Linked DNA regions of Drosophila melanogaster. The protein of the gene in region 1 interacts with the protein of each later gene in a pairwise test. Each region holds a gene or a part of one and is shown in the gene's direction. Other genes may lie near its edges. The genes, in order: CG8079, CG32369, CG3081 and CG44837.

Evidence for each region.
Region 2: the proteins of CG8079 (region 1) and CG32369 interact in a two-hybrid assay, tested with the Drosophila melanogaster proteins (one large-scale study listed by BioGRID).
Region 3: the proteins of CG8079 (region 1) and CG3081 interact in a two-hybrid assay, tested with the Drosophila melanogaster proteins (one large-scale study listed by BioGRID).
Region 4: the proteins of CG8079 (region 1) and CG44837 interact in a two-hybrid assay, tested with the Drosophila melanogaster proteins (one large-scale study listed by BioGRID).

The regions. Positions count from the first base shown.
Region 1 is NT_033778.4:15,215,675-15,226,140, forward strand, and holds CG8079 (uncharacterized protein), read left to right. Parts: upstream 1-2,706; 5' UTR 2,707-2,789; coding exon 2,790-2,981; intron 2,982-3,038; coding exon 3,039-3,162; exon of another isoform or gene 3,163-3,225; coding exon of another isoform or gene 3,226-4,590; exon of another isoform or gene 4,591-4,655; intron 4,656-5,754; coding exon 5,755-5,891; intron 5,892-6,053; coding exon 6,054-6,149; intron 6,150-6,224; coding exon of another isoform or gene 6,225-6,369; coding exon 6,370-6,751; intron 6,752-6,822; coding exon 6,823-7,308; intron 7,309-7,367; coding exon 7,368-7,485; intron 7,486-7,546; coding exon 7,547-7,652; intron 7,653-7,709; coding exon 7,710-7,874; 3' UTR 7,875-8,141; downstream 8,142-10,466. Other genes in the region: CG11808 (uncharacterized protein), read left to right, coding at 626-1,204, 1,268-1,348; mRpL41 (mitochondrial ribosomal protein L41), read right to left, coding at 1,390-1,890; Hex-C (hexokinase C), read right to left, coding at 3,226-4,590; Fs (follistatin), read right to left, coding at 8,468-8,581, 8,648-8,772.
Region 2 is NT_037436.4:7,805,465-7,812,780, reverse strand, and holds the start of CG32369 (uncharacterized protein), read left to right. Parts: upstream 1-2,955; 5' UTR 2,956-3,784; intron 3,785-7,316.
Region 3 is NC_004354.4:4,637,581-4,644,332, reverse strand, and holds CG3081 (uncharacterized protein), read left to right. Parts: upstream 1-3,170; 5' UTR 3,171-3,256; coding exon 3,257-5,008; 3' UTR 5,009-5,074; downstream 5,075-6,752. Other genes in the region: CG3062 (uncharacterized protein), read left to right, coding at 2,003-2,139, 2,191-2,500, 2,681-2,965; pon (partner of numb), read right to left, coding at 5,674-6,752.
Region 4 is NT_037436.4:11,935,011-11,942,578, reverse strand, and holds the start of CG44837 (uncharacterized protein), read left to right. Parts: upstream 1-3,706; 5' UTR 3,707-3,879; intron 3,880-4,071; 5' UTR 4,072-4,238; coding exon 4,239-5,606; intron 5,607-6,659; exon of another isoform or gene 6,660-6,847; coding exon of another isoform or gene 6,848-7,151; exon of another isoform or gene 7,152-7,173; coding exon of another isoform or gene 7,174-7,183; intron 7,184-7,229; coding exon of another isoform or gene 7,230-7,568. Other genes in the region: Rpt4R (regulatory particle triple-A ATPase 4-related), read right to left, coding at 1-475; byn (brachyenteron), read right to left, coding at 6,848-7,151, 7,230-7,568.

The DNA.
Region 1 (10,466 bases):
TGATAAGGATTCCTAGATTTGGCTGCCTAATTTATGACTGTTTATTTTTGCCTGCAAAATGGTTTGATTCGCCAAGACTGATAGATCGTGTGGGAATTTCGATCCCAGTTGATTTAACGAATGGCTAGTGGTCATCAGCGATAAGGTCTCCTATAATCTTGATAACTGCTGATTAGGTATAATTGCTAAGAGTTAATCAGCAATTAGTATTTCCTGCTTTGGGCGTACGGCAAACTGGACATTAAAAGACCCCACATCAGTCTGTAAACTGACATGCTAAGCCGGTAAGGACAAAACTCAATAAATGTAGTATATTAAATGAATATGTTAAAAAGAATTAATTGATTTAATATTACACATAGTTCTAAGTTAAATATTTTAAAGTGATTACTATAATTAAAATTCGCGCCTATTAGTTTAAATTAAAATCGGTCGATAAGTCCAAAAATCGATAGGCGGTAAACATGTTGACACAATCAGTGTGGCCAGCTGGAATATTCGTAAAAATGTTGCGTTTTCTTGACAGGCGATTTTGTATTTTGGGAATGAGCGACGTCCGGCACACAAGAAATATAACATAAATAAAAAACTAAATAAATAATTAACTGCCGATAAAGGACACATTATGAGGGATCGCGACCGCCGTGACAGAGATCGCGACAGAGAGAGGGATAGAGATCGGGACCGAGAAAGAGACAGAGAGCGAGACCGCGACAGACGACACAGATCAAAGTCGCCCAGCAGGAGCAGCCGGCAGGTTTCAAAACCGAAGAAGAAAAAGGCCAAGAAGTCGAAAAAGTACTCGAGAAGGAGTCGCAGTAGCAGTCGCAGCACCTCGCGCAGCTCCTCCAGCAGCAGGAGTAGTTCCCGCAGCACGCACAGCAAAAGCAGAACCAGGGATCATCACAAATCGCGGTCTATTTCGCAGAGGAAAACCAGGGGTCCAAGTTCGGAAAGCAATTCCCGATCCGCAACCACACCCGCAGCTGCTCCCGTGAAGGCCATCGATCTGTTCGACACCAAGGTGCAAAAGGCACTCGAGACTATAGACGAGGACACCTTCAAGCCGGAGTCATTTTTTAGCTCCAGGGATTCAAAGGAGACATCCGATAAGGTGATCATAGATCTGAACAATGAAACGGTCACAGTCGCCAGCAAGCCAGCCACTGCAGTCCGAAACGAAGATGTAATATTCCATCCGAACGTGAGTGGGTTACCTGGTGCTCGAATATACATGCTAATAGTATCTGATTTTCAATTCCGACAGTTCCTGGGCGACCCGGATATGAAGGCCGAGAAGTGGCTGCGCAAGCTGTACAATTACCGCCAAAAGTACATGCAGGAGTAGTCGAGTTTAGACTCTGTATTTAAGAAACAATAAACCTATGTCTAGAATATATCGCTGCCCGTCTTTCGAGCGCGTTGCAAGGCCTCCTCCGGAGTCAGTTGCTCATTGACCGAGGGCTCCTTGGCGCTGCCGTCCTTCTGCAGTTTTCCCGCCTTGAAATCTTCGATAATCTTCTGCGAGTAGACGGCGTTGAAGAGATCCAAGCTGGTGAACTCCGACTGGACGACGTCCGGCGCCTTATAGGACACGTATGGCTTTAGCTTACAACCGGTCAAATCGGGAACTATGATGTCCGGAATTTTCTCGGGAATCTCCACATACTGCCCGTCGACAAGTATGCCCGTGTCTCGTACACCTCGCTTGTGAATGGCTACCGGCGGATTGGCCAGTGTTTTCTGGGCTTCCTTTACCACGCGCGTACCGCGCTTGTTGTATGCGTTAAATTTACGGAAGTTCCGCTTGCCCTCCAGCACGGATGAAGTACTGATGGTCCTCTGCTGGCACCTTAGGGCAATGGGCACTACTTTAATACAATTATTCATTCTTATTTCGTTTTTCGGCGACCAAAATGGTTAAATAACAAATGTAGATGAGGGAACAGCTGTTTGGTTGGGTAGAGATGACACTTTTTTCGATAGACAATTAATCCCAGTTGGAAATGTATTGGAAGCCAATTTGCTATTAAACTACTTGTTTTTTTAAAAATACCGAAAAAGTTTTTTTTCTTTTAGGCCGTTGCCATATTTATTTTATCTTGATAAGAACTAAGTTGTTTTTTTTTTCAAAAACTAGGCATATTTTTTTTATGTGTAAAAGCAACCATCTCTTAATAAATCGATTAACTTTGCAGCCACCAGTGCTTAAAACGACTGTTAGTTGAAATGAAACTAGATGTTGGCGGATGTCGATGTTTTTGGCGAATAACATCGACGTTTTAAACATCGATGCTTTAAATAAAAATAATTGCTTTTTATTTTAATGTTGCTTAAATAAAACGTCAGTATTTGGTGTCCACCTTTTCATCCTCCGCTGGTCCAGTAATTGCTCCTATAAGACAAATGCACGTTTACATACATACATGTATATACATTTAGACGTGCATATGACATGCATTCATATGTGCAAGCCTTTTTCGGGTGTTAAAAACTTTCTTCTCAGATATTTTCCATGTCTATCACGACGCCACAATATGGTATTAATAATTGTATTAGAAGATATGGAAAATTAATTTGTACTTACAATTTATACGCTTTTCTCCTCAGATGCGATGTAGAGATGGAAAAACATCGATGATTCCTCGAAAACATCGATGAATGCGATTTTTTGAAAACATTGATGACATCCATGCTAGCATCGATGTTTCTCCATCTCTAGCTGAAACTCCCCAAATCGGCTTGTGATCCCTATAAAAAGTTGATTTAGATTCGACGGTTGTTAAACAATGTCGTTACCGGCTGAAGAGGAGGATTTGGCGGACACTGTCGCCAAGTACGATTCCATCGAATTGAAGAGCATACAGGACCTGGAAACCTGCGAGCAGCAACAACTACTGCAGTACGTCGAAAAGCTGCACGGGATTATCCGCAAATACGACACCAAACTGGCGTCCTATAAACAAAAACTCCTACACTACGTGAGTCCCAATTAAAGGTTGAGCTAAAATGGTCTTAATTTTTGATCTATTTTAAAGGTAAGCCGGGAAGAAAAGGTTTCGTGTGACAAAGCCAGCCAAGCAACTGAATCGGAATTACAAGAATGCCAGTATTCCATGGAAAACGATGAGGATACTAACAAAAAAGACCAGCCCAACGATTGTGAGTTAAAATTTGTTTTATTACACTGAGTCCTTCTATTATTGCTACAATAGTAGTGAGTTCCTACTTTGTTTTACTGGCCACCGCGGCCACCAGCGCAGCTCCACGTCCGGATCCGTCCTCCGAGAGCATGATGTCCCACTCCTTGTCTGCTTTCACCAGCTTTTGGAGTGTTTGCCTCATGTAGGCATCGAACTTTGGATGGTATCGGTAGACGGAGCCATCCATGCCGACTATCACGCGGCGGTTGGAAGTCCTGTTCACCAGCCCACTGACTCCGATGGCTACTAATGTAGCCGCTCGCTTAGCTACGCACTCGCAGATGTATCTCAGAGTCTGGCAGTCCTCCACGGAGGCCTTCTCTAGACCAAACAGATTTTTCACAATCTTCCTTGTGCTGGCAAACTCTGGGAAGGAGTCGTCCTCGATTTCCGAAATGTAGCGCGTCTCGAAAACCTCTTCGTTTCTCTGCAGCACGCTGGCGAATTCTGGACGTCGACTGCTCTGTTTAAAGATCAGCTTGCGCTCGAGGGCACGAAGTAGCACAAGGCGCACCAGGTTGCCCAAGTACATGCCCGCCGTCATCTTTTCGAACAGCTGCTCCGATCGGTTTAGAGACTTTTCGTCAACTTCGCGATCGTATTCGGTGCGCACAAAGTCCAACTGACCACCCTCACCAAAGGCGCCCCACTCAGCATTTACAATCACACTCCGCTTCGTTTTTTTAAAGTCTGCGCGCAATAGGTCCACATTCTCAACATCTTCAACGTAGCAGGCATTGCAGCCAGTTCCCACAATGACACCCACCCGGCAATCTGCATTACGATGGGCGCAGGACATCAAGGTGCCAGTGGTATCGTTGAGTATAGCCACCACGGCAATGTCGGCATCTCCGCGCCGCTGAATGGCCTCGTGCAGCATGCGGCCCACATCCTCGCCCTCAACCCCAGCACAATCGAATCCCTTAGTCCAGCGTACCAGGATGCCCTCCTTAAGGCCTAGTTGCACGCAAGGGAAGGAAAAAGTGAAGCCCAGTGGCAGATATGCGGTCTTCATGTCGTGTTTCTCCACAAATTTGGCCAGGCAGCCCGCAATGTGATCGAATAGGTCCACACCGGGCCCCACCATCAGGTCCTTTGGCACGGCATAGATCTGAGAATCCACCGTGGCGTCGTGGTGACCTTTCAGCGAGACGAGCAGTACTCGGAAGTTGGTACCGCCGAGATCCAGGGCCAGGTACTTGCCCATCTCGTCGCCCGTGGGCAGATCCTGCACGTACGTGGGAAAACACTTGACGTTGGCCTGTGGATGCGTGGACCGCTTAAGTCCACGGGCCACTTCCAGGCAAAAGCGACTGTACACTTCCTGCACCTGGTAATCACTCAACACAAAGGGTTGCATAAGTTCTCGCACCTCCGCGTCCAGCATTTTGCTTGGCTAATCTATCTGTCTTAGTTGTAACCGCCTCGAACGATGAGTAACGACTAACCAGGCGCCTGGCGAGCCCACGGCGATTTGGAGTTGCCCTGGGTGCCTGATAAGAGCCAGGCGTTGAGATGCAGTGCGCCTTGGAAACAACTGCTGCCGCTGCAATATGGGCGCTGCGTAGCAAATTAAAAACGAAAACACACCTAAGTAGCTGATTTGCGGATTCCGAATCTGAAACTACAACTGCGCGACATGCTAATCGCTCGTTGTCTCGTTTGCCGCTTGTCAATTGGTGGCAATAGCTTCAGATTCGGCACCCTACAAATTAATTGTAGATCGTCTTTAGCCGACTATTGGAAAGGAGGAAATATGTCACAATTAACTCTGCGAATAAATCCCGGATGGACACCGATCGCATGGCACAAGAATCCATTAAGAGATTACTATTAAAAAGTGTTTCAGTATCTACAAATAAGGTGTCCTCCGTTGTACTAAATTGTTGTATAACTTTTCGTAGAGTGCCATATTTCCGGAAAAAATGGCCAAGGCCGTATTTCACTTTTTTACTTTCTAAAAGCCATAAATTGTCACAGGGCGATATTAGCTGCAACACGCCTTCTTAGTTACGATGAGATAAGGCCGTTTCAAGGACCGCATCTTACAAGCGCAACCCACCCACTTGTCTATCTATTGAGGAGTATTGGCGGGGTCCTAGGTCGAGTACGTCAAACATTCCATGCCGGTAATGCCCGAGATAAGCACTGAAGTGTCGCATGGGCTAACGCCACTGCCCCTGACAAAAATCCGAGCAGCCCTTGACACTACTCTTAATAGAATTAATATGATTACGCAAAACTCAGGGGATTAGAAAAATAATTAGAATTCTTATACTAACACTTAAATAGCTACTTTATAGTTCGTCTAAATACATATAACTATAAACATTAATTTATGAATGTAAAGATAACTACAACCCATTTCCGACTATTTTTAAAGTTGAAATAAGGAAATGTTTTTCAAAACTGCTGATAACATTGCTCATTTTCGTGTCGTTCACCACAGGTTTCTGTTTTTATTTCTATATTGTCTTAAATATTTATAAAACCTTATCAATAACCATCAAAACATTACAAGTCATGTTTGGAAAATAATTTATATTTGCAGTATCGGCGACGGACGCCTTCAGTTTTGTGGACGAAATGAGGCAGGCAGCCAAGCACGCCGAAAACCTGAACAACTTCGTTTACGAGCACACCTCTGGCATGTACTACGATCCCAAGACGGGATACTACTATAACGCGGTAAATAAGCTATAAACAGCGGACGCAATCTTTATGACGTCCCGTTCTATTCCGCGATGCAGTGACTGCACCGCGATGACTTTCAGGGGTTATCGCGCTGGCAAACCTACATCAATGGCTCGGATTGTTGTTAATCTACACCTGCTTTTCTCTTCCTCGCAGGAGTACGGGCTGTACTACGATGGTAACAACGGCTGCTACTACAGCTATGATCACGCCAAAGACTCGTACGAGTTCCACTCTCAGGCCCAGGTACAGGTGAGTGGGTGTAGTTGCGGATTTCAATGCCATACGACCACATTAACCACTGTTCTTCTCCTCCTCGCTGCGCAGCCTTTGAGCGACTGCGCCTATAGTAGTCTTTTAGCGGGGTTTCACAAACTCCGCATAGACCGAATGCGTAGCAATGCATTAGGTAAGAGTCAAGGTCCAGAATGTGCGATAAAAACGCGGATTTCTTTTCTTAACTTGGTTGCAGGCGAACGATGCGGCCAAACCGGAATCGGAGGACGAGGATTTGGAGGTGCAGTTCGATGAGCTGGGAGGCGTCATTACGGACCACGAAACGCTGAAGAAGATTAAGGCCGAGAAGCAAAAGGCCAAAGATCAAGCTGAAAAATCCAAGCGCAAAGCCAAGAAAAAGAAGAGTAAAAAGCACAGCAAGAAGAGATCCAAGAAGGAGCGCCGTCACAAGTCCAAGAAGCGTCACAGGCATTCTGATGATGAGCGGTCTAATGATGCCGAGGAGGGCGAGCTGTCGCAAAGCAGCGACTCCAGTTCCGACTCTAGCAACGAGGATAGCAGCAGCAACACGGAAGACAGCAGTGTTCCAGTTTTCAAGGCTGCCGGACGCTTTCAAGGTGTTTAAGTTATCCGCGTTTTTATCGCGCTCTTCCCTGTTTGTTTAACTAACGCTTTCTTCTTTGCTTAGACATTGCTAAAAAGTATCCACCCTCCCTCCGCATCATTGTCCAGGAGACTAACGTAGAGTCGCTGAAAGTGGGAAGCCTGCATCTAATCACATACAAAGGTGGATCTCTTGGACGGGAGGGCGCTCACGATGTTATCATTCCGGACGTGAACGTCAGCAAGTGCCACTTAAAGTTTAAGTATGAGAACAAGTTGGGAATCTACCAATGTCTTGATCTGGGCTCCCGAAACGGTACCATTCTCAATGGATCCCCAATGTCCAGCGACGCCATGGATCTCGTTCACGGCAGTGTTATCACTCTGGGCCAAACAAGACTACTGTGTCATGTCCACGAGGGTAACAGTACCTGCGGTTTGTGCGAGCCGGGCCTTTTGATAGAGAATTCTCCGCCGGTAGTGGCCGCTGTTGCCTCATCCACCGCATCCGTATTATCTCACAAGGAGCAGTTAAAAAAACTGCAGCGCAAATATGGACTAGAAAACGAAAGTAAATACAAGACAACTTATACTCTCACTTTACTTTGACAATCCTTAATTCACTTTTAGAATTCGTTGATACTAGCGGCAATGGGCAGTCCAACTACAATGATCGTGCCGCAACAAGGAGAGTCCAGGTGGGCAGCAGTACAGATAAAGAAAAGACTGAGGTGGCTTGTGTGAACACGTGAGTATCAGCTTACACATCTTAACTTGAATTGGTTGACCAATGTGTTATTCGTTTTTAGTGAAATCGGTAGCTCTAATAAGGGTTTTAAAATGCTGAGTAAATTGGGCTGGCAAAAGGGCGAAAAACTGGGCAAAACAAATGCCAGTGCTGGACTTTTGGAGCCGGTAAGTGTTTTAGACTTATAAAGCTAGTCACTACTTCTAATACCAACCCGTTCGCAGATCAATGTGGTAGCCAATGAGGGCACTAGCGGTCTGGGAAACAGTGACCCAGTGCTGTCCAGCTCCAGAACCATTGACAAACGGAAGCTGGCCAACTTGAAGATCACTCAGGCGCGATATCAGCGCGCCAGTGATATGTTTGGACAATCGGATGATAGTGATTAGAAAGACATTTTGAATGATGTTGGAAACACATTTAATTAACAATTACTCAAACATATTTATAAGTGTATGTAAATATATATGTATGTATATACACATAGATTCTATGTATGTATATATTAATTCAAAAATCTTGCTATAAGGTTAAGCTATCAGTCAATTAATTAATTTAGCTTCGCTTATAAACAAAAAGAATAGGGGAAGGTAATGTTAAATAAATACGACTTCGCACACGTTGGTCTAAACTAATTGCGAGCCTAATGGGCATACAAACCGATCGTTTAAATTAATTATCGTGTAGCCTAATGTTAATGTTAAATACAAAAGCCTCTTAAGATATGTGGTTTCTCTTGCGATACATGCTGGATAAGATTTGCTGCAATACGTAATGTTGTAAGGTTGATAATACTTTGCCTGTATGTTAAGTGTATCGGATAATATGTAGTGTAAGCTCGGTAGGCTTGGGCAACAGCCGCAGGCCCATCCACCGATTACAACACGAAAACGCACAACGAGAATCTTTGGATGTTGGAGCTACGGAAGAACACGCTACATAAAGCCCTAGGCCGATGTGGTCGAGAGATGCATCCGATCTCCTAGCAGCTACCCTGGGACTTGACGCCGATGAAGTAGCGGGATTCGCAGGAGTGTTTGTGCATCTCACACCACGAGTTGTATGTCTGGTTGTTGTAGCCGCATATTTTGTGTACCTAATATTACAAAATTAATTCATAATAGGAAAGGAAATGTTTTATTTACAAAAAATCTGTACACACCGGTCGCTGCTGCTTCCGCGGACACTTGTAGCGACAGGTCACGCATCTCGGCTGGCGCGTCTGCAGATCCACCAGGCAGTTATCCTTTGGCCCACACTTGATGTCCGCACAGCTCACGCGGCCTGCTGCAATATAAAGTTTATGATGCGAACGCATTAATGACGGCTGCCTGCGGTTAAGTTTCAGCTTTATGTCTGGCAATTTCGGTTTAATGGCTCCTGCACACTGAAATGCATGTCCTGGCCGCCTGAGAACCTGGGCAGGTGCTTCTGTGATTACGGCAGAAGTGCCTGGCCATTTTAGAGCAAGCTTTCAACTTTTAAGGGCCATATACAAATGGTGCATTCGGTGGCTCATTAGGTCATGAAGATACTATATGTAGTAGTCTGGGCGAGATTAATAGAATATTGACTAAAGTTCAATTTTAGGGCTTACTTAAGAGGAAAGGATAGAATAGGATGCATGCATATGCACAACTAAATCTGTTGTCGTATCTCAGTCTGTCTTAAGTGCAATTTTCTAAGCTGACGCATAGTTCACACCACGCATTATCATGAGATACTAAACTGCACAAAGATAATATTTTGGTTTAGATCTGAAAATTATAAACGGACGATATAGAACCACATTTTTTATTATTGTATACTATATCCATCCCTTTTATATTTGTTGAACTAAATAAAGAGATAATTACTCTGATCGTATCATATTTTTTTGCTGTGCACCACGTCCCTTCACCTCACTCCATTTCCATATCCATACCCATCAGCATGCACAAACCCATGCCCATTTCCCATTCCATTTCAGCAATGCGCAAGACGGGTAGCATCTTTGGACCGGGCCAACATCCGACATCCGACTGGTGCGACTGTCGGGGAGTCGGCCAAATGGGCAGTTAGCCATTTAGCCAGTCATCCAGTCGAGCTATAAAGCAGCCAAGCGGCGCGCAGCCGCAAACGCCGGGCAAAATATATGTGTTTATCGTCAACATGATCTGCGACTTGGCAACTATGTTGCACAGAGCCCCCGGGCATTGTCGATCGCAATTGCTATGAAGGCGGAGCAGCAAAAGGCAAAGGGAGTCGTCTGGATTGTCTCTGTCTGGGTGTCTGGAACTGCATCTGCATCTGCATCTGCATCTGGAGTTGCATCCGCGGGTGACGGTGCGTGAAAGTCCGCCGTCTAGCAATTCGTAACAGTTAAAGTTTATTAATTTCAACTGCCAATTTAGCTTTAGGCAGATACGTCCTTTGCACGAGGTCCACTGCTCCACACTGCTGTGCTGTGGTACTCTGTGCTGCCCCGCACTTGTTGATTGTGATGGATGTGGCAGTGGCCTCCAGAGCAGGAGCTGCACCGCTGGTTATGGCTGATAATGCCGTCACAAGGCGAGCCAACTATAATTTGTTATGTCGACGTGGTTTAATCAACGCCGGCGGCCGTTGGCGGAACTTATTGCAACATTGTATGGGTTATAATGGGATGGGATCATATTGGATGGGCTCAACTGGAATGGGCTGGGCTCTGTTGGTCTGGTCTGGTCTGGTCCGGTCTGCGATGGGATGCGTCGTGGGTCATGCGTCTGGTCTGGTCGTGGTATATGCGTGTTCCCATTCAGACCAGCACTGGCCAGGCCAAGCCGGGTGGACTGGCCATTGGCCATTGGGCCATTTTGGCATTGCGTGTTGTTTAAGGTGATTTTAATACGATCGTAAACTACAGCCGGGACAGAGAGGAAGAAGGCCCAGACGCTCCACCAGACAAAAGTGACGTCGCGACGACGTGGACAGTTGGACAGCTGGACAGCCGGAGACCCCAG
Region 2 (7,316 bases), on another chromosome or scaffold:
AAACAAAACAAAAAAAAATAAAAATTGTTAGTTGTTGCAAAAAATCAAGCTAAATTAATTAAATAAAACCAAAAACTAAAAAAAGACCTTAACGCGTTTTAGAGCCTTTACTTATATTTTGAGAATTTTGCAAAATGAAACGAAATGCAAATAATTTTATATGTGAAAAGCGTAAAAAGCTGAAGGTAAATTCATAAATAACACAAGGCTACCATAGCTTAAGTTGAGGCGTAAACGAAAGCTAGATCAAAGCATAACTTAAAGCCTAAGAAAAGGCAAGATAACTTCATTTGGTACTCAAAACACTTAGTAAAAGATCAGCTTAAGGCATTAGAGCAATGCTAAAAAGAAATCCACAAGAAACTCAGCCTAATTGTTGTTGGCAGCATGCAAAACACAAAAAATGAATACGAATGAAAACCAAATTTAAGCTAAAACGTAAAGATGAAAGCCTAAGCAAGGACACTAACATGTACCTAGATATATATACAAAACCAAAATAAATCTAAAAAAAAAAAAACAAAAGAGAAAACCTAAAGAAACTCCAACAGAAGTGCTCGAGATGCTGCAGATTAGCTATAATTTACTACCTAATGTCAAGTCATTTGTTAATTATTTTACACTCAACTTAATTCATATTGAGTTCCATAACATTCTGTATAAGTTTTTGTAGATTTTGTTAACCGAATGAGAAAGTTATGCTTCTGTTATGGTCTTTAATTTCGTAATAGAAACTGAATTTAATTAGTAGGAACTTCAAGAGATAAGAAGTGAGATTAAGGCAAGGCGAATAATTATGTTTTACGAAAACTGCAAGAAAGAACAAACAATAAAGGTTTAGATACAAATTTTGAAACGATAAATGCAAAAAAAAAAATGATAAAAACTGTTTCATTTTTCTGTGGATTTTGTGGTATACCATTAGGCGAGTTTTTTCCTCTGAACGAATAGCCAACTTCGGGGCAGCATTGTCAAAACAGAGTGGTTGGCCTTCAAAGCAGCTGGAATACACAGTTTTGAGTAACTGGAGGTCAAGTTGATTGCATAATTGGTGAGTGGAGAGAGGATCTGAAAATGGTAACTGGATATGAGATAAGCTGTTAAAACTGTTGGGTGCAGTTGACATGTCGCTAAATAAAGCTGCCGGAAACTCAAGAACTGAAATGACGAACTTCAAGTTCGGATAAAATGCGCATTCTAAAACAATGTATACCATTCAACATTTAATCTGTGGAAAAACTTCCATGGATTCCAATCATAAGACAAATTCTCACTTCCACTTGGCAACAAACGAAACTCGCCCGACTTCAATTAACATTCACTAAAACAACGAAAAAAAATAAATAATTTGTTTGTCAGCTTCACACACCTATTTCAAATTCAGCTGAACCAAAGCCCAAATCGGTGATATACACTATTATGCAAAAAACATAATAAAGCAAAAAAAAAAAACTGAAACTAATTTCCTCATATATTGCTTACAAAATAAACATTTCAAACATGAAACTCGCAGCTAATTTCCGTTGATGAACAACAAAAGCAGCGCCAACTATTTGAGAAATGGGAGCTGTATAACCGGTACACAGTCAAAATTTAATTATATAATTGTACATGGTATTAAAATATATGGTACTACTAAAATAACGTTAATTGCTAAACAATTAAAGATTATTGAGATTCTACAACTCAGAAATTTGAAAATATATATTAGAATAAATTTTGTTAATTTTAATATGTTTTAATCTGTAAACTTTCAAGCTTTGTTTTTTTTTTGAATGCAGGCTTAAACCAGACCCAGACCTGAGGCAAAGCAATTCGATTACTTCCCTATGGGGAAATGTTGCAATAAATGCGAGCAATGCTCAAACATAAGCGGACTCCACTCGCCCGCCCCGCATATTTTTATACTGTCCAAGACTTACGAAAGCGAAAAATGAGTTAACAACAACGGCCACTCAAAATGTTAATGGAAACGCAGCAGCAGCAGCAGCAGCAGCAGCATGAAAACTGGTAGTATGCAGGCAACCGCTAACAGACAACGTTGAACTTGAGCTTGAAATACAAGCCAAGCGGAGCCAAAAGAGAAAGACGGGAAGTAGGGGGAGGGGAAGCGATACGCGGTTGTTATAAGCCAAGTTTGTCGACAACTGCATTTGTTGATCAACCCAAATGAGGTCAACGCGTCGTATACGTAATTTGCGTTAAATGACAAAACAATATGTAATAGCCACACAACACTTACGAAACGCAGATATTCGATATTACAGACGAACTTTAACAACTCTGAGCTCTATCGGGATAGGAAATCTATAGCTTCAAAACCTGTTTAAGGATTATAAAATTAATACATCTTGTAATGACATGTCTGAGAATTAATCAACTTATATTTTCACAGTTTAATCTATTGTGTATTTTGTTATACAAATTTCGTTATTAATTTTATAAGTTATTTGAGTAAGCTTTTATTCTATTTTACATAATCTAAAAACTATATTTGCGTATTAAACAAAATTACAAAATTTTATATATGTAATTTAGTTTAAGTAACAGAAAATCGACCGTATCTGTTGTGATTATTGATGTTTGCTTGGTGTTTATATGGCTGTAGTCTGTTGAGTGGCGCCGGAAATGCGCATCATACGATAAATGACGCCCACTGGCAAACTAGCACCCCCAACACCACCCACTATCCCCCAACCCAATAGTTTTGCAAATCACCCACCGCAGCCCCCGCTGCCCCATCATTTTTCTTGGCGTCGCCTGTTGTGACAGTTGACGGTTTGCCGGCAAAAATTAAAAAAAAAAATAAAATGCCAGAGAGAGAAGTGCTAAACAAAGAGAGCTCAAGGCACAGACATCGATGACGCAACAGACACATCCACGGAGGCGTAAGAGAGTCGACCCCAAAAGAGAGCGCCAATTTTTCGCTCCAAGCCAACGACTGACTTTTCACAGCAGTCATTCGCTGTTGAACAGCGGCCGTGGCAAGTTCAGACAGCAGGGAGAGTTTGAAAAAAAAAACCAGGCCGTAATACAAATACAAAAAGCAAAATAATAAAAATTATACAAAAAAAAAGTATGAATAATAAAAAAGGCAAATAAAAAAGCAACAAAGTGGAGCGCACCCCATAAGCAAATCATCGCCGAGCCACTCGAACACGTTGCCGCCGTTGCTGCTGTTGTCGCTATTTCTTTCGCCCAGTGCGTTCGCTCTCTCTCTTTCTGTCTCGTCGCGTAACGTAAGCGTATTACAAAACAAACGCCAACGTAATCAAAGAAATAAATAAAATAAAATAAAGGTGCTCGCTCGCGTGTTTCTCGGTGTGAATAAATGAAATAAATAAATTAGTCACAAAATATAAAAAGGGGGTCCAAGTGCAGCCCCCCCCAAATTGCCGCACACCCTTTACGAGAAAGAAAGAAAAAAAGTTAACCCGTGTGTGCGGCGGGGTTACGTAAAGCCGACGGACAAGCGCCGTTCCAAGTTCTTACAAAACAAAAAAAAAAATATATATAAATATCAAACAACACATAACACGAGTGAATAGATTCCCCAATTCGATTTTTTCGCACGCGTGTGGCTATAAATTTTTGGCAAACAAAAATATATACAACTAAATACAACAACAAAATTTTAAATAAATTGCAAGAAGAAGAGGGAGAATTTCGTGTGTTAGTGTGTGTGTCTGTGTGTGATTCTTGAGCAACAGTACACGCCGCACCCCCCGCGAAAAACCTACCCTTTTTTGGGGAAAAACAAGGAGGCGCGGTTCAACAGCGACAGGTAATTCCATTTCTGCGCTCTCTTTGCCACTCTTTCGGGTTCTCTTTGTGTGTGTTACGACATCAAACCACATGCTATGCCTCTGTTTTCAATGTGAATGAACGCTCGACAAAGTTGCGTTTTCAAAGATTGGCACATTCAAGTCTCTCTCTTAGTTTTTCGCTCTTTGTCGGGGAAAACAGTTTTTCATTTGCTATCTGCAATGATTGTGAAAACAAAAAGTGCACTGCTTGAGTCTAGCGGAGGGAAAACTGCAGGGGCGGCTCTTACGTGTTGCCATATTTTTAAAGGCATTACTAAGCGTTTTTTCCGCGCTGCTTTGTTGACGTTCTGTGGCCAATTGAATTCGGCCTGCACTTGATAATCATTTATATTTAATGTGTGATAAAACTTCCGTGGAAAAATATATATCTTAACGATTTCGCGATAAATTAGCTCAGATAAGCAAAAAACAAATGGTGGAAAGAACGATTTGGGAATTTTAAAAGAAGTAAAATTAAGAAAATAAACAATTCAACCTCGTTAAATTATAGTTGACACAAATTTTATATACAAAGTTAAAGTATATAAAATATAACTGGTAAAAAAAAACGTCAGTTTTTTTCATTTTCATTTCATTCATTTTCCTTGAATCTGTCGCGTTGTCATCGCTTTCGTAATTCTCTGGTTAACAGTTTCCAATCCCCGATAATCTACTAAAGATTCGCCAATTTGTCGGGGTCACCACCCAATATTCGTCAGCTACCAAAGCGAGAAACTGGGCTCCTTCCCTCTCCCCCCCTCGACCGCATATGCCCCTCTCACTCGGTTGACGTTTAGCGTTACGACACGCAATGTACTACGAGTATTATGCGACGTTTGCTGCCAATGAACAAGCCGCAACAACACAGTTCGCCCACTTGGCCCAAAACGAAAAACGCCAAAGGGGTTGGGGAAATGCTGAAAAAATATGGTTAGCTCGAAAAGAGGAAAAACCTATTTGCATACGTCATCGGGCGAAAAAGGTTCGTCATGACTCAGAGTCGAATATCGAGGAAGCCAGACTTCAAACAGCTGGATCGTTGTTATATAAACCAAGTCAAACACTACACCGAACTTATGTAAGGCCCAAAGGGACCGGGCCAATTAGTCACAGCGAATGTGGGGGTTCTTGTGTAATCGGTGTGAAATCAAAACCGAAAACCTGAAAAATCACAAACTATGTAGAAATTTTTGGTTGCTAATTGGCTTGCCTCAATAAATTCTTCAGCCCAGTTTCTTTTGTAGTTATTTTGAGCTATTTATATCAGCGTTTATCGCCGTCGTCATTGTCGTCCATTCGAATACAATGTCATAAAACGTGTGAGCCAAGCAAAAAACGGCAAGACAAATGAGAAACCAATAAAACAAATATCAAAGAAGAAATCAAAATGTACAAAACCAAATAAACGCCAACATTAAGGCAATGAAAATGTATGCGATTTCATAATTACGTCGAAAACTACCATCGGAGCATAATCACTTGGTTATGCAATTTATTGGCTTATGTGGCGTGATTACTTGGCGATTAAAGAACTCTATCAGAAGTTCTTGGGATTTTAGGAAATTGGTGAAAGACTTAAACAACTTTGTAGGAATTTCCACACCTGAGCTGTTGCTCATATCGTATTTGGGTACATGAATGTTCATGAAGATGAATCATTTGTTGACTCATTTTCATAAGATAGCAATTTCATAGTTGATACAGAACAACTGTCGTTTTCAATCAGTTCTTTACAAGCAAGCAAATAGTAATTATTTCAACAATCGCTCAATGAGTTTATCACATTTAGTGCTGTAAGTTCCTTTATCGACTTCAATCACTGCGCGCCTACAATCACTTATCGGACTTAAGGCAAACAATGCCTGAATTCAGTTGACTTAGAATACTGACAAACGCCGTTGTAAATGTAGCTATATACACATATTATATGTCAACGCTGCCATTTTGTCTGAGTGACGACGGACAACGGTTGTTTGTATCTACGATTGACATTGCATAATATTGTGAAAAATAAAGCAATCTACGCTATAAGCTATTGCCCTGAGGGCGTGTTCAGGTAGCCGGGCTTCACATATTTGTTATTCACTTAGGAACAATTTATCGGATACGGATTATGCAATAGGACTTTACGTACACGGAACTGCAACCACGATTGCACCAGGATGCACGTGCAGTTATATGAGGCGTATACATAATTTTTACTTACGCAAAGCCGAGCGGCAACAGGAACAATTAGAATCGAGTGCCTTCTGGCTTGTTTACCAACTTTTCCCTTGTCCAATACAATGTTTCACAATGCCAGCTGATATGAAAGTTGGAGCTCCCTATCTCAATCTCGTTCGTTACCTCTCTATTTATATATACTGCTTATATGGTTTCGTTTCCGAGGCGGAGATTGCGCTGTTTTGCTTAAAATGATCAGAAAGTGAGTTCTCTCGAGTGCTACAATATCGATATCAGTAAATTGCTTTCGAAAGGGAAATTTCTGCAGGGCGAATTCGTGAATTTCAAGTACAATATACAGGGAACTTAAATGTGAGTGAGGACTTAAGGTCACGTCGTGATCAGCTCCAACTGACTGAAACATTAAGTAGATATTATCCAATTAATTTCTATATTTTTGAGTTTCATGCTGACGATTTATTGACCCTCATAATAATCCCACTTTATTTCAAATTTTCTATCTCTTATCTTCTATTGCCAGTAACTCGTTCGTTTGAAAGTGTATTATCTGTCTAATCTAACCAAAAAAAAAAAAAAAGAAATAATACCTACCCAGATCTTATGTAACCTGCAGCCGAAATTCTATTCCGAATATAACATGCGTGTTTAATTTTCATTATATTTTTTGGGTCGCCAACTCGATCAGAAAGTCTCATGTAGATCGTATATCTGCGGACATATAAACACACCCTTGATAAATTCATTTTCTTGGCTAACTACCAACTTATAAGATATTTCAGCATTACTTAACAACGAGATTTATGCAAAAGCAGAAATCGCCTGATATAAAAATGATTTTGCCCGTGTTTCTGTGTGCGTTTTAATATCGCTGCCAATGAAGAAAAACTAAAAATTTCATTTTCACGCAGCTTTGTAGTTTCATTTTATTTTGGCACACTTTTGATTGCCTTTGCAAATGTAAACAAATTATGAGCCAAAAAAAAGAACAAAAAAGCAAGAGAAGGAAGAGCGATCTTGATGCCGGGCGGACGACAAACCAAAAAATTGTTTACATAACAAAACCAGAATGCGAAGGCAAACCGAACTTTGCAGGTGTGTGAGAGTGCGCTGTATCTGTATCCGTGTGTTATGCCGGCATTGTTTATCTTAAAGATACAATACGAACGACGTCAAAAGCAAAACGTGCGCACAATCAAAAATAAAATAAAACCGTAACAAGCCAAAAACCAGACAAAAACAAAAACAGATTCTCTTTAATGAGCTACTCTCTATTCGTATCTCACAAATACACGCTGAAATGGTTCTCGTAAAGAGAACGTAAGAGAG
Region 3 (6,752 bases), on another chromosome or scaffold:
TTTCCTTTGCTCGAATTTTAAACTTTTGTTTATTTATTTTTGAAAATATATGTCGGGTGTTTTCTTGTTTTTGAGTGTCGTACGCATAACGTTACCGCTACCGCTCCGTTACCGTTTCCGCTCCCATAACCGTTTGAGCTCGCTTTTTCATTTCCTCCCCGCCCACCGCCCACCGCCCACCGCCCACCGCCGCCTTTGCACATTTGCAAATAGCGACAGTTAAAGTTTATTTACTTGGTAACGGTTACTTTGGACCAGAACCTTTGCCACGCAACTCGTTTTTGGGAGTCCACAGCTATTCGCCATATACACACACAATCGCAACGGAATCGGTTAACTGCGGTGGTGACGGAATTTCGAAAAGAATCTATTCGAATCGCACTCGAGAATCAATCGAAACGCCTGGCGTTAATGGTTTACCAATTGGCCAGGGCGACAGCTGTTCGGCCAGCGGAAATTGAAATTGGAAAAATTGAATGGAGCATTGAAAGAAGCAGAAGCAGGAGGCGGAGCACAATCCACAGGATACAGGAGCTTTGGACCAAAGGATAGTCGGCGGCAGAGCGTGAAATTAGCTTAAGTGCTTGTCGCCTCGACCAGGACACACCAGTGGATACAAGTGCGACATTAGATACGATACAAGAGTACCCGAAAGTAGAGAAGTACCTTCATTCTGGCGAACTTCTAGCCCAACCCCAGTGCCTCGGCCTAAACCAGCGATTCAACCGTGCACGTGTTTGCCAACTAGCTTTTTGACTGTCTAATCCTGCGGATGCGAGAATGCAAGGACACCATGTGATAAATTGCACCCCAGAGGGTTGCCATAAAAATCATCGCTTCACCCAGCTGGGGTGACCACCTCACCCATCTCAACCATCTCATCCAAGGGGTGCAAACTATTCTACCCATATATGCTACCAATCTATCTATCTATCCCATCACTGTATCTATCTGTCTATTGTGTAGCGTTAGCATAGATACCACACCATCGAGCCAAGTGCTGTTAGCTCCTTTGTTGCTAATTGAGTTTAAAATCAATTTGTATTTTTTCACGCCGCAATTTGTTCGAGCGCACAGCTACATTGCGTAATTGCCGTGCAAATTTAATTACAGCGCCGATGCGGTAATGCTGGTTGACCAACAAAACAGCCACGCGCTGCGAACGTGCGCCCTTGTCACACCCACTCACAATACGGAATCAGCACCCAGTGGAACACCCACTGCAGCACCCATCGATCAAGGCCTCAATCAAGTGGTGACACTCGGAGCGCTCCGAGTATCGAGTTACCAGCGAAGGTCCATTTGCATTCCTTAATTGAAATTCGTACGCGTGGGAAGACCACGCAGCCTGAAAGCTTTGAATCTCCCAAAGTTGGATGTTGCTCCATGTTTTTTTTTTTTTTTGGAAGAGATGATCTTCCATTTAACAGATTTCACTTCTCATATTCATATTCAATTATGCCACATAGTAGTTCAATCCAATTCAATTGCAGGCATATTGCCGGGCTCACTTGCTCCTGTGCCCGCTTAGGGCTGGCTAATCCTTCTGATAAATGGTCCGGGCTTTGGATGAGATGCAGTGGCTCGTTTTTTAGCGCGCGCAGAGATGTTGGAAATTTTTAGAAAGGCAAACACAAACAAGGCATTAAGTGGCATTAGACAAATGCCTTTCTACACATGTTCCAGCGTAGAGATTACGCCGTGTAATTGGCCCCACCTCCATTCGCCCGGGGTGGGTTCCGGTTTTCGATTGACATTTGGCCACGGCTGCGGGGTGGGCTACTGCTCTGCTCTGCTCTGCTCCTTCTACAATTTTTTTTTTTTTTTTTGTTCTTTCTTTTTATCAATTGCCTTGTTTGCGCTGGGACCATAAATAAGGGCATTACTCGCAGGGGGCGTGCGCGTTTTCCTAACAGGTGTCTATCGACTCCTGGCTAATCCCATGCCCATGCCCATGCCCAGCTCCCTGACATCGAGTTCCTTACTTACTCGTTCGTTGCAGTTCGAAGGCCGATTCCAGTCGAAGCGTCTCAACAACTGGGAATATCCGCGATTCTCACCACCCCGCCCACGTGGTCTGCAGAAGAACGCCAAGGTTGTGGCGGCCAATAACGGTCACCTGCTGCCCGAAGTGATAAAGTAAGCAATTGCCAATGCCCCACAATTATACAGTTTAATTTTAATCCACAGGGAGGGCAACTCATTTGGCCAATATCGTGGAACCTACGAGCTACCGCGTCGAATAACCCGTGCCTTTTGCGCCCACTACGATGCCTGTCTGAGTGGGCGGTACAAGTTTGTTGACTTTCCGCGTGACCTGTGCAATTGTCAGCGAGAGAACCGCAGGGCACTGGCCTGCGATCAGCGGTTGACCTTGGGCCACAAGGACGATCCCTACTGGATGCGCGAACGGTGCCAGACGAAGTGCGAGGGACTACAGAAGCTGAGGGCGTTGAGCGAGCGGAGTGCGCGCTGCAATCGGGCCAAGTGCGACGTGGTGGTGAGTGGGAATCGGGGTCACCATCGGGGTCACCATCGGTGTCACCTCTTACCAATTATGTGCACCCAGATTATTGAGTTATCTGCAACCAAGCTATACATATTTTCATTTCTGGTTGCACTTTTTGCACTTTCATCCTGCACCCTGCACACTCACATTCACATTCACCTGCAACCGTAGAGCGAGAAAACCGTGAAGATGACGCCGAAGGCAATCAAGACGACGGGTGTGGCCACCGAAAAGCGGCGTCGAAAGCGCACCATAACCGCCTTTTCCAAAGGACGAACGGCATTGCATCCCAATGAGCTGACCAAGCCGATTCCATCGTCGGAGAAACCGGCGGCGACTGTCGCCACTCCCAAGGACAAGCCGAAGGACAAGCCAAAGGACAAGGAGGCGGGCAAGAAGGATAAGACGAAGGATAAGGGCAAGGAGAAAGAGCGCAAGGCGGCGAAGGGCCATTAGTAAAACTTCATTATTTTGTTCAACCGAAATTCAAATCAAATTCATTGTAACCGCAGGTTTAAAATACATTTTAAAGGGCAGCACGATTGCACTCAACACAAATCATATAGCATATATATTTTATAACTAAACCCAGGTTAAACCATCTGTTACATATGTACATAAATCATACATCATTATCATCTCCATCTCCATCTCCATCTTATCTCATCCCATTCCATTCTGCACCACCAACGCATTGCAACAAGTGAACGAACCTGAAAGCCACCTACTCCATTACTCCATCCAATCATGTCGCAAACAGCTCTCCCGGAACTGAGCTACACGCCGGGCGACCTAACAGAGCCGCAGTTCCGGCTGCCCTCGCACCAGGAGCTCCTCGACCAGAAACGCAACAGCACGGACAGCGTGCCACTTGGTCGTCTCACCTTGGACACGCGCGACACGCAGCCCATCAAGTACAGGGAGCAGCTGGGCTCGGCGGCCGGTCGTCAATTTCCGGCATTGGCAGCGGCCCAAAATCGCTATACGGATCACTTGGAGCGCAGCAGCGAGTTGAGCTTTGCGTGCCTGGAGCCGGGCAAGGATCTAATCTCATTGCCGACGGTGGGTATACGAAGCTTTGATCTCGATCCCGTATCCGTATCCGAACCCGATTTGATCAAGAAGATGCCGCTGCACTCGATCACGGAGAAGCCCAACGAGCGGTGTCCATCGCCAGTGGTGCCGGCATATGCCAATTTCGAGCTGGCCAAACGGATGCACCAGGACAATTTGGACCACCAGCCGCTGCCCGATTGCGTCGCCGATTTGGCATTCCGGCGAGCGCAAATATCCGGCGGACATGCTGGCCTGGCCCTGGAAATCGATCCCATTGCCACGGGCGTGGGTGTGAAAACGCACAATGCTGGTCCGACGCACTGCACCAAGATGAAGGTCTTTCGTCCGAAGACCGGCGGTGGCATCGTGCCACGTGCCCTCGGCAATGGCGATGCCTTTCGAGGTGTTGGCTCCGCTCCGGCCAAAAAGATGGGACCCATGGATTTGGCCATTTGTTGGGACTTCAAGCCGGCGAATCCATCGGATGAGCCGCGCCTGGCCAGGCACATAGATGGCTCCAATGACTCCGCTGGACCGGCTGTCTTCACCTGCGTGAAAACGCCTCGCGAGGAACAGTCCTCGGACTTGGGCCGATCGGCTGGCGTCTTCACCAGCACGCTTGGTGAGGCCGATTTCTTCGACAAGGACATCCTGAGGAAGCGAACGGATTTTGGCGGTGCCCGTGTGGATCGCGAGGATCCGTGCGCCTGCGACTACTCGCCACCGGCCAGACAAAGAGCACGCAGTGTCTCCCGCGATTCCAGTGCATCGCATTGCAGGCGAGGATCGGGCATCGGCGGTCCAACTGGCGGTGTGAGTTTCGGCAATTTGGCGGAGCTACCCGGTCGCGGGATGCCCGATCGTCTAGCCAAGCAGTATCAATCGTCACCCCTGCTGGGCGACAAAGCCTACCAGGCTTTGAGGGAGAAATATTTGGGTCCGGACTCTGGACAGGATTGCAGGGCCATGGATTGCCGGCCAACGGGTGGTCCACCATGCAAGCGAGACGTTCTCCTCCGGCGTCCAGCTCGACGTCTCTGCCACAAGGTGGCTCCAGCTCCCAGATGCTGTCCCCCATCGTTCGGCGGACATGGTCATCACCATGGACATGGACACGGACACGGACATTGCTTGACCAGTAAGGCGGCATTTCGCGCCGGAGTGCCCAAGCATAATGCCTCCGGTGATTTCGTGGGAATAGAACCGGGCTGCGGAGGAGGTGGCGGTGGCGGTGGTAGGGTTCTGGTGGTGCCACGCCCCCGGCAGCCGTATGCCAAAAAGAATTACGACATCGAAACCCTGGTGCCGCCCTTCCAAAGCCAAGCGGGCGGAGCGGGTCAGGGCGGCTATCCAGAGCACTGGCGATTGGCCAGTGTCTATCAGCACGCCTACAAGCCCATCGACCAGCGGCGGCGACCCCTTCTCCAAACTGTCTACAAGTAGGTGTGCTCCAGGATGGCAGTCCGCTCAAGAGAGAAATGTCCGGACAAACGGGATAATGAATAATTGAAAGCTATACAAAAATGTCCATAAGCTAAGCAAGTATATTAACTTATCAACTTAAATGTTTGCTAGTCATTAGCATTAAATTGATGCATCTGTACACACAAATTAGTCGGAAAAATCGGTCCAAGAATAGGAAATCACACGTTTATGTATAAAAAAACAAATGTTATATATATTAGAAAGCATATATATATATATATATAAAGATATATGGGCAAACATACATACATACATATATGAATAAACGTGCAAACATCAAGTAACTTAAAACTATAAACAGTGTGCAAATTAATTTGCAGAGTTCGCTTGAAAAATTAAGAAAAAAAACTTGATTAAAAACTAGGTGATGATGTGGTTTTCAGATGAAATAAGGTTTCCTTTCCTTTTTTCGCTGGTCTTGTGTGACAATCTTTGGGTGCAATTAAAAACTTAACTAGGTGCTGAAAAATCGAATTGAAAAGAAGTCAATTGGGTCAATTCAACAAGGGGAAGGCGCATTTCAAAAATAATAACAAATAAATTTAAATGCTTTCGGTTACAGAAATGCCATTTGAAATCCCCTAAAAATCGACGCACCAATTGAATCTGTGGAGCCAACCTGCTCACTTGGCGGTTGCATAGGCATCGTGACTCTTGTGGAACACATGGCGCAGCACGTCCCGCGTGGACCGCCTAATGCTGTTCCGCAGTGAGTGCTTCTTCTCGTTGGTCAGCTGCTCGATGGTCATGTACTCGGTTTGGGCAACGCTCGAGCGGAGCTTCATGGTCCGTTCGCTGGTGTCGATAATGGAGACGTCGGCGAGAACGGGCTCCATTTGCTCCTCCAACTCGGCCGCCTTTTGTGGCCTCCTGCGCAGGCTGTGCCGAATGCTATTGAGTATGTTGTGCTGTCCATGGCCCTGTCCATGTCCATGTTCATCCTTGTCCTCGGACTTTACCTCGGATGGCGTGGTGTGCGACGTGGGATGCATCAGTCTTCGAATGGACTTTCTTATCATGCCTTTCATTCCGATACTGGGCTTAACTTCTGCCGATTTGGCGGACTTGCTTGATCCGATGGACTGCAGCGACTCCTTGCTGGCCGCCTTGGAGGGCAGAGCGGCGGGTCTGTAGGCGCGAACGAAGCGCGCGGGTGCCTTGAAGTCTAGATCATCGGGCTCGTCGTCGGATTCGGATTCGGAGGCATAGGCCACATCGCCGTCGGTTGGCTCCTTTTCCCGTTCCTCTTCTAGCTGCCTTTCCAGGAGCTCCTCCTCCTCCAGCTTCTCCTTCTCCAGATGCTTGGCCCTCTCCTGGAGCTTTTCCCTGAGCTGCTCGTGCAGCTTCTCCTGCAGCTTCTCTCGCTCCAAATGTTTTTCCCTCTCTAGGAGTTTCTCCTGCTTCAATTGCTTCTCCCTCGTTAAATGTCGTTCCCGCTCTGAGACCATCTCCTGCTCTAGAATCTTCTCCTGCTCGAGAATCACCTCTGCTTCGCGGTCCTGCTCGAGCAGCTTCTCCGTGTCCTCTTCCACCTCGGAAGCCTCGCTAATCTCGGTTAGTGTGCGTCGTCTGGTGCAAACCAGACGCCTCTCCACTTGAGTGTCCACCGTCACCACTTCCTGCATCATCAGCTCCTGCGTATTGGTCTCCATGACCAAGGAGACCTTGGTGTTCTTGGGCAGTTCCACCTCCAAGCTATTCC
Region 4 (7,568 bases), on another chromosome or scaffold:
CAATGACCTCGCGAAGCTCGCGGATTTGCTGACCAAGTCCACCGATTTCAGCGTAGTTTACGTTTCCGGGATCTTCATGGGTCATGTTGTACACCAGGGGATCCACTTCCCGCGGCAAATAGCGCATGATGGTGAGAGTGGTCACATCCAGGGCGACACGTGTGCCGGGCTTTAGCTTCTCCTTGTTAATCTGCCGGCGACATCCGACCACGTAGCGCGGTCCGTTCGAGGCCTTCACGATGAAGTTGTCCGGTGTGAGCTGCTTCAGGATTTCCCCGACCATCTGACCCACACTCTGGAGAGCCTTCAGATCGTCCTCGGACTTTTCGTACTCGGCATTCACGACCTTGTACTTGTCTCGCAAAGCTTTCAATTTGGATTCGATCTCGCGGTGCTCCAGAAGCTTGGTACGGTAATTGGTCAGCGCCCTCACACGCTCGTCGTCTGTTGGGGGATTTGCAAGTGGAGCAGACATTCTCGAATTTTATTTCTTCCTAACTACACCGAGTGACTTTAAAATTGTGCACACGTGAAGATTTTGACGTCTGTCAATTTGAACGATGGAGCACTTCGATGAACCGGTTCATAAGAAAACGACAACGAACATCGCTCTAAAAGTTCTATTAACAGTACAGTGGAACGTGAGAGAGAAATATTAATTTAAAACAACAGAAAAATTATTTAATGACTAAAATAATATATTAAGTAAAATATATTTATTGCGAGCAACTGATGCTTACAACAATGTAGATACCTATAAAACGCCAGTAAATATTCGCCAAGATTTCGATATTAAATTTTAAGACATATTGTAATACATATTTGTATAACTATATTACAAAAAATAAGGTAAGATGACGAATTACTTAAATTTGTTTTTAAAACTATTTCATTGTTTTACAATCAAAGCCATTTATCCAAAGGTTGAAAGCTTTGAAAGCTTTCGCTCAAAGAAGATGGCGCCACTTTGTGCAGAAAAAATTCTGAAATGAGAAAAACAAATTATAAAGTAAGGAGCGTTAAAAAAGATTGAAATATTTTTTAATTTTGGCATTTTATATTTATATTTATGGATTTTAAGACTTTTACAAGTTTAGTTTAAGATGGTATTATTCTTGTTTATAGTCTTGGCCTAAAGTCACCTATTACAAGGATATTAAGAGCTGCATTTTGTGTCCACAAACTTAAACAGAAATCGACAATTGTACAGAGCCAGTGATTTCGACTTTAGTAGTCCGCTGGCACGTGAATGCCATCGAATGCGTCGGAAGGTGCTGGCCGGGAACCAAATGTCAGCACGGCATCCGGGGCCATAAATCAGGCCATTTTGTAGCACTCCGTGTTGCGGGTCCAGCTGGTTCGAGTGGTTTGGTTACCACGACCAAAATATCCAGATATCCACTGGGACAACTGCATCCACGGGTCGAAATGCCCCGCATTTGGGACACATGACAAATATGCAGTTTGCAAATGTCTAATGAATTTGAACACGCCTTGCAGCGCCAATTGGTGCCAAGTATTTTGCCTCTGGCTGTGGGTCTTTGAAACTGAAACACTTTTTCATTCCTTTTGAACCATTTCTTGTATTTAAAAATAATTACTTTGTGTTTAGAAAATTACAAAAAAAAAATTGTATCCCAAAATTACTTATTTAAGTTTGTGGCTTCGTGGTGCTTGGCTTCACCCTTTTCTGGATAAGTTGAGAAGACAGGGTAGGGTTAACATTTGGAAACCAAATCGCCGCCAGACAGCAAAAGTATCTCATGCGGGGGAAGGAACAATAACGTACAGAAATATGAAGTTTCTGGAAACGAAACCGAATTTCTATTCAATAAAGTTCGGTGGCTTGGTTGGGCTCGCAACTTGTGGCGCAGATGTTCCCGACCTTCCAGCCAAAGTTCGTTATTTGGTCAAGGAAAGAGGTCCTGTTCGAATTCGACTCACTGGCTACAGTGTCCCCATAAAAAAAATTAAACGCAGACCTCAAACAGAATGGCTTGTTGCAACTTTCACTTGTTTTCGATCTTGACTTCTGACATCCTCTGTGGCAGGGATTTGCCGTCGAGGACATGGGCGTGGCTGGCCAACATGTTCACGAAAAATTATGGCTTGACTCCGACATTGTTGAGCCCTTCACGGGCCAACTTTTGGTTCTCTTTCCAAGTTATTAAGCTTTAAATAAAGAAGAATCCTTTTTAAATTGTTTAGACAGCAAAATTCCCACGGGAATTTGCAGTAAGCCAATGTTTCAAAATAATTATTTGTTGGCTTTACAAGACAATAGGAAACCACATTTTTCTGTTTTTTTCTTAATATTTAAATATTTTTAATTACCACAACGCCTTCACATTTACGTGAAAGGTTTAAATAAAACCAATTTAAACGTCTATTTAGTAGATATTTCCTGTAATTATTAACAAATAATTGTTGTGCCATAGAAAAAATTTAATTTATTATAAGAGAACGGCAATTAATATAATTATATAATAATTAATTATTCCTTTGCCTGCATACTAAGATTAAAATAAGTCACTTAATGGAGCAATGGATATATATCCACAAAGTTACATATATATTTTTGTTTTTACGAACGTCCCATCGATCCGCTTTTTGTTAATCATGTGAGTCCTCGTATCTGAAATATGATTTGCATATGGATGCCGGATGTGCTAATGCAAATTTTTGACCCAGCTTGAATTTCATTAACACGATTCGGGGGATTCAGCGGTGCACATACTTACTTCCCCTCCGTGTTCCGACACTCAGCCCATCCGATGCTTGATGGCCATACATCAGGATGAAGGATGAGCACTTCAGAGTATGTGTGTGCCATGAGCAAGTACTTACATATGTACCCAGGTACAGGTGTGCAGAAATGTGGCCGTGCATTGTAATGTTAAGTTACAAGAAATGGTCACACTACAAAAAAAATTTTAATGCGTGGGCCGTTTCATCTGTACAACTAAAATATATCATGTTTTCTAGCTATTCGCACATTGATTTTTTAAATAATTTATATTGAATTTAAAAACATAATATTAGATATCACACTATATTTTTCTGAGTGCTGGCTTGGGGGTCGGTGAACATTTTGAGATGAGGTTAACAAAAATGGCTATGTGTCGTCGTCCTGCTGACTGCGAAATTGCTTTGGATGCCAAATGAATGCACTTGCATATTTCATTGCCGCCCCGTCACCTGCGGTATCACCTTTGGGCCAACTCTTTGCCCCAAGTTGGGATAACACCATCATAAAACAATAGACTTTGGCTTTGTGGCCAGGAGCAAGCGTAACTTTGATTACCAAGAAGAATGTATGCTATTGAGTTCAATAAGAAAAGCCCTGTTTGGTAAAAATGTTTTAAGGTCTGTTAAGGCATAGCATTAAAACAAAAAAACGCTACTTTGGAGGTTAAATTCTTTTTATTGTTACATGATTCCAATGGATATTTGTTTTATATTTTATAGTTACTTTTTTTCAAATAAGTATTACAATAAAATATCTTTGCATTAACATGGACTTTACATTACATACTGTTAACATGGCGACCCACTGCCATACTTTTTTGTTGGGCCAGGTCACTTACGATCCACAGCATCCATCCACTGGGGGGTACTCCTTGCGGAAACTGTTGCTGCTGCTGTTAGCAGTGCCGTTATAAAGTAACGGTACCGCAGCACTGAAGAGCCCAGTGTGTTGGCAGCGCCGCGTGGCAACGGTAATTGAATTGAACCGGGTAGCGTTAGCGGTTTTATCCAACGGAAAATGTGACGGAATATTGGCGGGATTGACGTGTTATAATTTATTTGTTTTAGTTTACGCCGTGATATTGGAAAAGCATAACAAACATAACATTGTTAGTGAAAGAGTAAAAATAGGTAGCGTTTGGAATCCGATTATTATATCTACTATCTTATCATTTACTTTCACTTACATAATAGAAACGTTATTTTTTGTATATTATATTTATTACTTAGCTTACATTATTTTACTTGCTTTCAATATATTATATGTACATATAAGTTGTACCTCCTTTATAATGTTATATCCTTGAATACTTGAATACTTAGGCCACCAAAAATGTGTTTATTTTCATAAATATGCAAATTAAAAGTAAATAGACCAGAATAAGTGCTAATACTGAAACATAAATAAAGATGATTTGCGTGTCATTACTCAAATATCAACTAAAATTCGTGAAAAAGAATTAACAATCCATGAGTGACTAAAGGGAACCATGTCTTCTGGCGAGTGGGACCTGCGTGCTTTGAAGGCGCTGGAGGAGGAGGAGCAGCGCGAGTTCCTGGCCCTCAGCCAGAGAAACCTCTTCGATCCGCTGCCGAATCCCTCACCGGATGTGCCCAGTGCGAAGCCTTCACTAACTTATGCCCAGCTGCATCCTCACCTGCTAAAGCTGCCGACGATCGACGAGTGCCAGCTGATGGCCGTCAAGCAGCAGAGATCAGCGGCTCTGCGATTCAGTCGCGCCCTCTCCTTGTCCGCCCACTCACTCACCTCGCGAACCGGAAGCGCAACGGCAGGCGGAAGTGGCCTGGGCTTTGGCCGTAAACTGAAAGCCCGCTTAGTGGGCGCGAAGTCGAGTGGCTCACTTTCGCCCGGTCGGCACTCGCACAGCTACAGTGTTTCCCCGGTATATACGCCGCCGCCCATGAGAAGATGTGCCACCTTGCATCACACGCAACCGGTGCGAAAAGTCTTTAAAAATCTCCAACAGCTGCAGGAGCGAAAACGTCAGGCGGCTGGAAGTCATCTGCAGAGGATCGCTGGCACTGGAAAAACGTACTGGAAGTACGGAGCCAATTCCACGGCCGCCTCGATAGTGGGCCAACGTGCACGCCAAAACCAACAGATCGAAGTCGAGGAGCCCAACGGTTCGGATGAGCTGAACTCGGAAACACAGGAAATCTCCGAGGCGGAAACGGGCTCCTGCAGTGTGCCGCTGCCGTCGAAGGACACCAATGAAATACTCCGCCTCATGCTCAGTGCGGCCAGCTCGGCGGTAACTGTGACGCCAACGGCGGCGGCCATTGGTAACGGTAACGTGGCCGGAGCAACTGGTGGCGCCCCGCCAATGCGTCGCTACCAGAATGCCAGCGATGTTGAGGAGGACGAAACTGTTGCGTACGGAGCTTTCCACCAGGCGGCCAAAAGCTTCGAGCGCGGCGCTCTCCTGCGAGTCGGCAGCTTAACAGCCCAAGAGAGCGATAACAGCAAAGTTAATGCCATTAGCCCCAGTCCACAGAACAGTCCCGCCAGGGAAACACAATCCACAGCGGTGGGCGGAACGGGTGGCAGACGTGTGTTCAAGTCCTGCTCATTCGATTGGCCCGGGGAAGCGCAACAGCATCTATCCCCGCAGCCACATCAAGCTGCAAATCCTGTAGAGCTGTTGGAGCAGCAGGGAAAGGACATTCGCTTTCGCCAGAGGGATCACTGGGATCTCGAGCATGCCCACTTCCATCACGAGGCACTTGGACACCTAACAACCAGCACCACCGTCATCGATGACGAGCTGGAGCAGCATATCAAGCACTGTTCCTGCTCCTGCAACCACATGGGCTATGGCAACTCAATGGACTATCAGGTGAGTGAAAACTACGTTCAAAAGAGATTAATACAAATAAAAACTGAAAACAATTTCGGTTGAATAAGAAACATATGATTAACAAATTGTAACTTTCGAAGCTTATATTGTCTATTAATGTCGGTCTATTGTTATACCATCAGTATAGGAAGGCAAATGGCTTTAGTTATTGAAATTTTAGATATTTTGCAATTAAGTGGAATGCTAATTGTTTCCTGTTTGCCCATTTAATCCAAAACCGCGTCAAATTCCCGCCGTGCACAGCCCTTTTACAAGTGATGGCGCCGTGTAATTTTAATTGCAGCAACTATATCTGCAGTGCGGGTGTCCGGCAATTCAGGTGAATGGCGGCACATTCAGAGGGCCTCCACTTTCTATCCAGCTTTTAATGCACTCTGGCGGAGATTCCAATACACAGGCATTTCCCAAACTCATTATCAGCGAGGCCTTTTGTGGACATTCCGGGTTCACGGCTGGATTGGTCCTGGCAGATTGCCGCCTGGAGATCGCCCTGGGGCACTGACTCTGCCATTGCCAAGTGCTCCATTGTCTGGCTGCGAGTGGCCCGCATGGGATGGGTTCAACTTTTAAACTAAATTGAATACCCCTTTGAATCCGACAATGAGCTGGATGCCTGTTCTTGCCGGGATTAAGCTCACAGTTGGGTTTCTCGCACCCTCACATCGTTATTGTCTGTAATTGTTAAGACGATTTTAGGTTTAATAGCTGCCATTTCAAATAGAGTTGGAGTCTGTTGGCTGACCCCTCGAAAACTCAAGACTTTATCTTTTGTTTTACCACAAGGATGCAATTGCACACTCTATGTGGCCCTAAGGGGTGTGAGACTTTTATTGTGCAATACTCAGGAACAAACGGCCTGGGAAACTTAAAGCATGACAGGAGTCTTCAACTAGGAAATATTTTCTCGGTTAATAATGCACTCTAAAGAACTTTTAAATACCATTGTATGTAGATGATGATGTAGATGATACCATTGTATGATGAAATGATTGCCTGATAGTTAGGACCTGAAAAAATGAATTCTAGCCATTTGCATAGTTTGATTACGACTTTATAGGAGATTGTTTACAGCGTACAGATAGTTCTACAATAGGTGCGATTGCGATTGGGTGTGCTTTACTAATAGCGTTACTAACATAGGGCGTTTATTTCTAACTCGATCGAACATCCAGGGGGGTCATGCGTCTAAAGGCTGTGGGTTTATCCGTGGGATGATCCGATCACTGCAGCGTGCTCTGTGGCGGAGTGAGCGGGGTCCAGGTGTCGGCAGCTACGGCCGGAGCTCCATTCACCACGGCGGTTGGCACCGAGACCACGGCAGCTCCACCGCCAACAGTGCCCCGTTCCCCGGCGTGCTCCAGGGATGAGGACTCTATCTTGATGTCGTGAGAGCTCTTCAGGGAGGAACTGGCGCACTCCAGCGTTATGACCGAGCCCTGCTCATCGCTCGGCTTGTACATGGCAGCCTGGGGGTCGTCCAGTGTCTTTGAAACATCAACGGGCTCCAACGGATGAGTGGCATAGCTGGAAGGCGGTTGGTGGGAAATCATTGATAGCTACGTTAGCGGTAAGTGCGCACAGTTCCCCACCGATTCAACCTACCCGATCTCCAGGGGAATGTATTCCGGCTGGTAATACGCGGCGGCAGCGTTCTGGTACAGTCCGTACTCCGCCCCGGATCCATTGTGCCAACCACTGGCGGAATAGCTTAGCGCCGAGGGCGCATTGAGAACCGCATTCGTGTACAGCTGGTGAGTGGGTGAGGTGGGCGTGGGATGGTACACCTGGTGGGCAGCTGCACCGTATGCCGCTTGCGGGGATCCCGTTGTTCCTGCCCCGCCCCCAACGCCCACTCCGGTTCCATAGATATCCGTTTGGGCCATGTTGTACTGATGACTGTGTGGCGTCAGGTGATGAATGGTGTAGCTGGGCGAGGAGGTC